Sus scrofa: one gene and its partner. The protein of the gene in region 1 binds, or shares a complex with, the protein of each later gene. Links are inferred from orthologs where the notes say so. Each region holds a gene or a part of one and is shown on either strand. Other genes may lie near its edges.

Region 1 (4,538 bases):
AGGATCCAGCATTGTTACTGCGGTGGCTCAGGTTCGATCCTTGGCCCTGAAACTTCCCCATGTCATTGGTGTGGCCAAAAAAAAAAAGTCATGGTATTGCCTGCACTTCTGAACATTAGTCTATTCTTAATGAGTAAGGGAATACTGGGTCATTTTTACCCAATAAATACTGTTTCCTGAATTAAACTTCCTCAAACAACACCTTTGTAATTTCATTTTCTATCCTTAATCCACTAAAAATAATAACTTCATCACCTACAAGATTAGGGCTAAATTCTTTTACCAGTTCAAATCTGGCCCTACCATATTCACTTGTCCTTATTTACTTCTTAGTATGTACTCTCTGTCATTGTCCCCTATAAATGTGCTGGGGTTTGTTTGTTTTATACCTCCAAGCTATTTAAACAACATGATGCATCCTGTAAAATACTTTACAAATATTAGGTCATGTAATCTTCATAACAACCCTATGAGATTGATAGATGAGGAAACTGAAGCACAAGTGACTTTTCCAAGTGGCAGAGCCAGGATTCAACTTGGGGCAGAAGGGATCCAAAGTCAATGGTGCTTGACCACTGAAAATATTACTTTGGGTCCCAATGAATTCACCATCTGAAATATCATCCCTTCTCCATTGTCTATTTGAATTTTAATACTCATCCTTCAAGATGTAGCTTAAGTAACATTTCTTGTATGAAGTCATTCCTTAGCTTTTCCATCCCATACTTTTCTCTTGCTCTGGCACTACATCAGATATTTAAATGACCAGTGTATGTCATCTTCCCAATCAGACAGTGACCACTTCCTATACTATTCACATCCCCCAGAGCTCCTCTCATAGCACAGTCCAAATGGCAAGTGCTCAATACTTGTTAACCAAACATGTAACTCAAAGCTTTGAAAAAGACATATTTTGCATACAGCCCAAAGTTTATTTCCAATTTAGCTTACATGTGGTAGAGTCAAAACACCTATCTGCACTCAGCCTCTCACCCTACTCCTCCAACTCTTTTAAAAAATCTGCTTAGGATTTCTCTCATATAAAGTCGGTGAAGCACAAACTCTTTTTGCCGGCATCCTGCTCTCAAGCACCGAAGCCGTAACAGCCGACTACCGCAGCACCCGGTACAGCATCTAGGACACAGAACCGCACAGTATAAAAGTGGTATGGGAAAGAGTGAGCGGAATGTCTACTGGTCCAGGAAACAGGCGCTTGGTAGGAAAGCGCCAGCAATTTGTAAAAGACGGAAGTCCGCTCCGAATCTGGGAAGCCAGGTTCCCCGGCAGGCCCTGTGGAAAGACTGGAAGTGGACTTCAGCAAGAGAATCCGGAAGGCTTATTACCTAGTAATTAGGAACCTAAAACAGAAGACTAAACCGCGGCGCTGAGGCCACGCTTTGTGAGGTACTGTTACCGCAGCAGTACTGGCCACAACCAGGCAGAGCGGCCCCATCAGCCGCTCCTCGGGCAGCTTTCCAAAAGCGCTTACCCACACGTGTTGCCACCAACCTGCGGAAAATAGCTAGCAACTCCGGCTGGGGTCTTTGCAAGTGTGAGGGCAGCTAGGCACATGCGCACAGCTTCTCGCCGTGCGGGCCAATCGCAATGCGGCGCTGAGCATCGCGCCTGCGCAGTAGGCCTCCAGGCGCTCTTCCCCTTCCCTGCCGGAGCTGGCCGGCTTAGCTGTCCAATGCCCACCCGGAGCTGGGAGGAGGAGCCTGCGTAGAGTGCGTGTGAAGGGAGCAAGGGGAACGGCCCGGGGCCCTTGGTGTTTGACCCGTCCGTCGGTGCGTAAGAAGAAAGGAAAGGAGGCGGCGGTCCAGAGTAGCGGTTGCCGAAATGTTCCGGTGTGGAGGCTTGGCGGCGGGTGCTTTGAAGCAGAAGCTGGCGCCCTTGGTGCGGACGGTGTGCGTCCGAGGCCCGAGGCAGAGGAACCGGCTCCCAGGTGATTGACCCATCCCGGTAACCCCCACCTCGAAGTCCAAAGGCCTGGGCTCCAAAGGCTCTCTTTGCCTCTCAGTCCTAAGCCCACCCCACCCCCACCCCAGGGGAAAAACTAAACACACTCACAGTCGCTAAATTCCGAGGTGGAGAGATCTAAACTGTGAGTTTCGCAAATCGTGCTGACCTGACCTTCAGGGGATTTGAGCCCAGTAGTCGGCTTGAGGCCTTTTCCTGGGAGGCTTTGCTGTTCGGGGATAACAGACCAGCTGGCTGTCTCCTATTGTCCGATGCCACCTCGCAGCCACCCCCAGTTGGCCTTTTTAGAGCCGTGAGGTCAAGTCGACTTTGTCGTTTGTCGGTTGTGAGGCCCTAAGCAGGACGTTTAAGCTCGACACCTCAGGTCCTTTTGTAAATGAGTATATTGCCTGCCTACCTTCCAAACCCCACCTGTGATTCATAGATTTGAGCGCCCTGAGAAGCAGAAACAGTGCAATGAAAGTAAAGAGTCAGTCGGCTATGCGCCAGACACCAGGAAGAGTTGGCCCAGAATTCATTTGACATGTCTGGTCAGTGGAATTCTTGCTGGTCTCTAATGCTTCTAAGAAACAGTTTGCAGAACGCATTGCATTTGCCCTCCATGAAGTTGTTTCATCAAATGTTAGAGCTGGAAGGGATTTCGTGGTAAAGTTCAACCCATTCATTTTATAGATAATAAACCGAGGCAAAGACAGGTGAAATTACATGCCCAAGGTCACAAACCTAATTAATAGGCAGAGCAAAGTATAGTTTTCCAGTCTTTATTTCCCTAATCCCCTCGCCCTAACTCCACATTGCTTTCTAAAATTTGACCTCAGAAGGTTAAGAATGAATGCGGTTCCCCTTCAGCCGGTTGTGCATCAGATACCCTTGAATGTATCCAAGCTTATCTCGAGCCTGCTAATCTTCAACCTGCACAACTTCAGAGGGGTAAAGAATCATCTACCTGTAGGAGGTGCTGTTTTGTGGGTTTTTTAGTCAATAATCTTTGAATGGCCACCTGAAGATATTCATATTTGCAATGTGAGAAATGATCCTTGAGGCCTTTTCTTTCTTTTTTCTCTTTTACTTTCTTTTTTTTTTAAGGGCTGCACCCAAGGCATATGGAAGTTCCCAGGCTAGGGGTATTCGAAAGTTGCCCAGAAATTTACACAGAAACTTAAGTAAGCTGAAGATTTTCATCTACACACACTGGCCTTTCAAACTTTATGTACTTATTTTGCCTAAATTGTTTTGTGGGAAAACTAAGAATTATTGGCAATAGAGATCCTGAGGAGGAGTTCCTGCAGTGGTGCAGTGAGTTCGGAATCCAACTGCAGTGGCTCAGGTCCCTGCAGAAGCTCAGGTTTGACCCCCACCCCCCGCCCACTGAGTGGGTTAAAAGATTCCCTGTTGCCCTGCAGGCGTAGCTCGAAGCTAAGGCTTGGACTCAGTCCCTGGCCTGGGAACTTCCTTAGGCCACCTATGCTGCCAATAAAAAAAAAAAAAAAAAAAAAAGGAGTGAGAAAAAGAATGTATATATTTATGTATGACTGGGTCACCTTGCTGTACAGTAGAAAATTGACAGAACATTGTAAACCAGCTATGATGGAAAAAATAAAAACCATTAAAAAACAAAAGGAAAAGAAACAACTCACAATTTTTGCCAGCATTATGAAATCTGACCAAAAACGTTCTCATCAACTAAGTATGGATTTACAAAGGTAAATTGGTTTATTAGACATTTGAAGGTGGTTAGTAGTATTAGAACTGAAGAATACAGAAAATGTTCTTTTCCATTGCATGACTTTGTTTGAAAGCAGTCTGCTGTAGAGTATATTCCGACTTCTTGACATATCCATCCATCTCCTTGTGTATACTTATTCTTTGTCTTTTGGCCAAGCACCGGAGTGTAACGTTCCCTTTAGCAATGGGAGGAGATGAGGTCACAATTTCAAAAAGAAATGATTGTCATTTTAGGGATTAACCTTGTCTTGTGGCTCGATTTACTAATTGCTTTTAATCTGATTTCTTTTGCACACAGTAGCATTTACCATGTTTTTGCATAGATCAAGAAGAAGCATTTTTTATTGATATGCCATTTCCTCCTCCTTTTCCCCCCTTCCTCCCCACTAGTTCTTCACCAGGATTATAGCAAACTTTAAACCTACCTTGAAATGATCTCATCCATATCTGTCACCATTGTCAGGTTCGTTTCCATTATATGTTGCCTTTTGCCTTAAAACCATAATTGCTACTATTTATTTATTTGCTTAATTTAGATGCTCTGCCTCTTTCCAGCAATGATAGAAGGGAATTAATAGTCACCACTTTATGACTGCATTCAGCAGTGAGGAGCAGACTGGCTAAGTAATAGAGTAATAGATATTTTCTATTCTGTAGTATTTTATTTGGTTGCCAGACATTGTGCTGCCCATGTGATCAAACTGATCACTGACCCCTGACCTGAGGGTCGAATGTTTGAACATGTTTCTCTGTTCAGAATCCTTCTCACCTCACTAAAAAGGAAACTGGACTCCTTGTGGGCAAGGATCCAGACATCTGGACACCACCCAATG
Region 2 (4,287 bases), on another chromosome or scaffold:
GAGAGTGGTTAGGACATGCCACCAAAGCAGGAGGGAGGGAGTGCCTCAGCTGGCTGGGCTCCGAGCTGGCACCAGAGGCACTTTTGCAGAAGACAGGAACATGAGTCACCAGCTTCTCCCACACCCAGCACCCTGTTGGCAGGTGCCCCTCGGTTTGTTGAATGAATGTGGGGCTTAAATAGAAAGGTTCCTCAGAAAAGCAGGGAGAAAAGCAGCTGCCTTTCCAAGGGCACCGCCCTCAGCCAGGGCCTTTCCAACCAAGCCAAAGCCAGGAAGACGAGGGGCCAGCAGTAGGGAAATGCTCCCTCTCCCAGTCATGCTAACTCCTCTGCTCCAAACTAGTCTGCCCCTCTGCACAACATCAGAGCCTTGGTTTACATACTCCCTGGAGCGGGGACCTCAGTGCCTGCTAGGACAGTGCGTTTCTGGACAGCTTCACCAGGGCGATATCTGCCTCCCCACACACCCCATGGGGGACTCCTGTCTGAAGTCCCGTCCAACTCTCAAGTCCGCAAATGTGAGAATCCCAAAGGCGCAGGCGGGAACCGAGAAGGAAAGAAGGAGCTGCGCGGAGGCGCCGCACATAAGCGGACCCGGAGACAGAGCCACACCTCCAGAGGTTGCGTCTCTACCACCACGCGCCCCCGAGGAGGACGTGGACCACCGGGTGCTGACCGCACGTACGGACGACCTGGCTGCCCTGCCGGAAGGAGCGGACCCGGGAGCGAGAGGGAGGAAGGGCCGGCTGCACGGAGGCGGTTAGCCGCACAAGGGGCTACGGCGGGCGGCCGGGAGAGTGGACGAGGCAGCCTGGGTGTGGCCGGCGAAGCCGGGGACACTCACGTTCGCAGCCATGGCAGGATCCGGTCACCGCCCGCCTCACTCGGCTCAGCAAGAAAACGGACTTACGGCTGCACCACGGAATCCCGCCACCTCTCGACAGCCAGATGGCGGCCAAAAGGCGCGGGAAGCCCGGAGCCCTAGGATGCGCTACAGAGCAACGCCCCGCAAGCCGCGGTTTTTCTGCTCTCGCCCGCCGCGCCTCCTCCTGGGAAACGTAGTCTGGTGCCCTCTCCGGAAGTTGCAACCTACCCGGTACCTCACTGGTGCACCTGCGCATTGCAGGTCATTCTGGGAATTGCAGTTCCTTCTGTCTAGGGAGTTGCTCGGCGGCGCGCGGCCTGCTGGGAAATGTAGTTCCCGGTTGAGAAGGCCGGGCTAGGAGCTCCGAGGCAGGCGCGCGGAGGGCAGGCCTGGAGGGGGCGGGTCCGCACGGGCCTCCCAGCCGCCCGCCTCGCCGGGGAGAGGTCACGGCGTGAGGCAGCCACCGCGATCACCGCGAGGTTGGAGCGCCGGGCTGCACTATGGCCTACTGCCGGCAGGAAGGTAGGAGGGCGGGGTACCTAGAGACGGCCTACGAGGGCCTGCAGGGAACAGGCGGATTGTGCGGCCCCCGCGCCCCACCACTGGTGCGGAAGATAGTCCTCGGACCCTTGCGTCGGGTCTCCATCCCCGCTTTACAGATGGGCAGCGGGGAGAAGCGAGGCGGTCCAAGGTCACCGTGAGGCTCGAACCCGGACGTCTGAGGGACCACCACGTGAGAGAGCTCTTAAATTAGGCCTGGGGGTCGGAGGAGTGCGAGCGCGCTGCCGCTGGCTCCTAACGGAGAGTTTATAGGTATTAATTGTTACTATGGCGCTTACCCACACCACGTGTTCCGGTTTGCGCCGCCCGTCAACAGTCCTGGAAAGTCGCCCTCGGCGTGCTCTGTGCTGCGGCGTGGAGTACCGCCCGAGGGGACCGGTCAGGCGCTGGTGCGCCCTAAGCCAGGCCCTGTTCATTTCCCGAGAGTAAACAGCGACCCAGAGGTGACTAGGCTAATGCCATGATGCCGGCAAGTCCGGAAGCTGGGGTTGGACCCCCGCGGTCTGATTCCAGAGCTGCCCAGCCTGGTGACCAGTGGATTCCAGGGAGCCTTCCGTTGGGAAGACAACCCCCCAAAAAAACAAAACTAAATAGGTTTCTGTCTATGGTCTCTCTCCTTGTTACCTCTCCTGGAACCCCAGAAGTCTCCAGGCCAGGGGTTCGAGGGCCTCCGCGCACAACCGCTAACTGGCTCTTTGTCCCTGAGCTGTCACCCAGCCCCTCCAAGGCCCAGTGTTCAGTCTTGTAAAATGAGAAGTAGGCCTTCCTTCCTTCTCCACATATTCATGAAGCACCTTTTTAGTGCCAGGTGAGGGTGATGGTGAACACCTGAGACTTTAAAGCTCCAGAGAGAGCTGGAACTCTCCCTGAAATTCTTTAATGAATAGTCTAGCTCCCTCAGGTCATTGAGGGACCCTTAAGCCCAGAGATGGAGGTGATCTACCCAAGGTCATGCTTAGGTAGGAAAACAGCTCAATCTAAAATGCTAGGCCTTTCCCCCAGTACCCCATTCTGCTTCCAGAACCCTCCTTCCCTGGGTCATAAAGTCATAATACTCACGATGTCTCTAATGAGTGCTATTTTAATTGATTGATATTTAACTCTGCCTTGAGCAAAAGTCCTCTGCCCTCACCGCTTTGTTAGAGAGTAGGTCTCTTGTTTTTTATTGCCTTCTGAGTCTACTTTACTTCATCATTTAGCAATTTTTTTTTTTGAGCCTTGTGGGCTTAATGAGGCCATGCAGATAAACAGACCCTCCTTGTCCCTGAGGATTTCTGGAAGTCCAAGGCAGGTGTTTATCTACCACCAAATGGTAGGTCATATCTTTTCCTGGGTCAAAGATCTCTCTTAGTATTGGGGGTGAGAACTGAAAGCATTCATTTTTAGGCCTTCCCTAGTTTTTAATATTATCCATGCCATGGTCCCCTAAATCCTAAAAAACTTCTTTTCTACCTAGCAATTCTTTCTGTTTCCCATGGGACTTAGAGAAGTGATCCCAAACGCCTGATTGAGGGCTTGTGTGATGGAGCCCCCACCTGATCCGTCCCCAGCTGGTCTCTAATCACCCACTGCTGACCAGCCACACTGGCCTCAGCTGTTCCCTTTGCCTGGGTGCATCCTTCCTCCAGGTCTCTTCCCACGGCTGCCTCCTCATCCTTTAAGATTCAGCTTCTCAGTAAGGTCTTTCTTGACCCTTTGTGTCTTTCACTTCCTAAACTATGAAATTACCTGATTTGTTTTGGTCATCTTATTTCCTGTCTTCTAGCAGCATTTCCTGTCTTCTGAGAGCATTAGATGGGCCATACCCCTGGCACCTGGCACCTTTACCCAGTGAACCCGTGCATACGCTTTCCCTCTGTTCTAAGTGAATCACATTGACTTCAGGGGTGCCCTGCCCCTATCCCAGCCTTTGGAGTAAAGGCCTCAGCTGGGTGTTCAAGGTGTTGGGCAGTGTGGACCCAGACTAGCTCCCTGGCCATGGGTAGCACTGTTCTTTCTCTTCTAATGTTGACCCCGCTTCTGTTCAGCTAAACTTTATTGAGCACCTGTGAAGTACCAGCCACTGAGGCATGGCTTTGGTCATAGGTGGGCCATCTGCCCTCATGGTGTGGTGGGGGCTGGGGGGGGAACCTTCCTGGGTTGGATGTGCTGAGAGATTCTGATGTGTAAAGACCCACACGTGTCCTGGGGAAAATGAGACCACCCATCCAAGGGTTTTTTTCTCTAACCTGCTTCATGGTGATAACCTTTCTCTGCTGGGGCGGAGGTCTTCATGTTCGAACCCAGAGTTCAATTTCTCCATTCACGTCTTCAGCAAATACCGATTACCCACTATGTCTTGGGCACTGTTCTAGGCTCTGGAGGTGCTGCAATGAATGGAGCAGACATTTCAATTTCAGTGGGGGTGACAGGTGGTAAACAAATATGTAATTGTAAGGTGAGAAAAAGCAGGTAAATGGTGATGGGAAAGGATGAAGGAGGATGGCATCTGAGCAGGAGGTATGAAGGCAGGGAGAAGGTGGCTGAGAGGGGATCTCAGTGTGTTCCTAGGGGGCAGACAGCCTGTGCAAAGGCCCTGAGGTAGGCGTGTGCTCAGCACATTCAAGTAGAAGCAAGGAGATGCTGAGTGGAGGGAGAAGTGGGGAGAGGGGGTCATGAAGGTGAGGGATGCAGGTCCTTCTGGATGTGCTTGGAGGCAGAGCCAGCAGGATTGGATGAGGGAGGCATGAGAGGAAGATGGGAGTCGGGGACAGAGGCACAGAGTAAAACTGCAGAACTGGGGTGTCTTGGTGTCTGAATGCTCTGTCAGTCCTTCTGTCACCAGCCCCACCCTGAAGTCCTGCTTGCAGAGTGACCTGGGGC

Evidence for each region.
Region 2: the proteins of AIFM1 (region 1) and CHCHD4 are in contact, whole or in part, in a cryo-EM structure (PDB 9GQZ), measured with the Homo sapiens proteins. The link is inferred for Sus scrofa from reciprocal best matches to the Homo sapiens genes AIFM1 and CHCHD4. Residues at the interface, in NP_004199.1 of Homo sapiens: Pro345, Tyr347, Ser500, Ser501, Leu502, Pro503, Thr504, Val505, Gly506, Val507, Phe508, Ala509, Lys510, Glu558, Asp559, Tyr560, Asn602, Ala605, Lys606, Phe608, Asn609, Ile610, His611; in NP_001091972.1 of Homo sapiens: Arg5, Glu7, Lys9, Asp10, Arg11, Ile12, Ile13, Phe14, Val15, Thr16, Lys17, His20, Thr22, Pro23.

What each region holds. Positions count from the first base shown.
Region 1 is NC_010461.5:106,705,423-106,709,960, reverse strand, and holds the start of AIFM1 (apoptosis-inducing factor 1, mitochondrial), read left to right. Parts: upstream 1-1,670; 5' UTR 1,671-1,839; coding exon 1,840-1,945; intron 1,946-4,538. UniProt on the Homo sapiens protein: Functions both as NADH oxidoreductase and as regulator of apoptosis.
Region 2 is NC_010455.5:70,416,134-70,420,420, forward strand, and holds the start of CHCHD4 (mitochondrial intermembrane space import and assembly protein 40), read left to right. Parts: upstream 1-1,192; 5' UTR 1,193-1,364; coding exon 1,365-1,386; intron 1,387-4,287. Other genes in the region: TMEM43 (transmembrane protein 43), read right to left, coding at 844-855.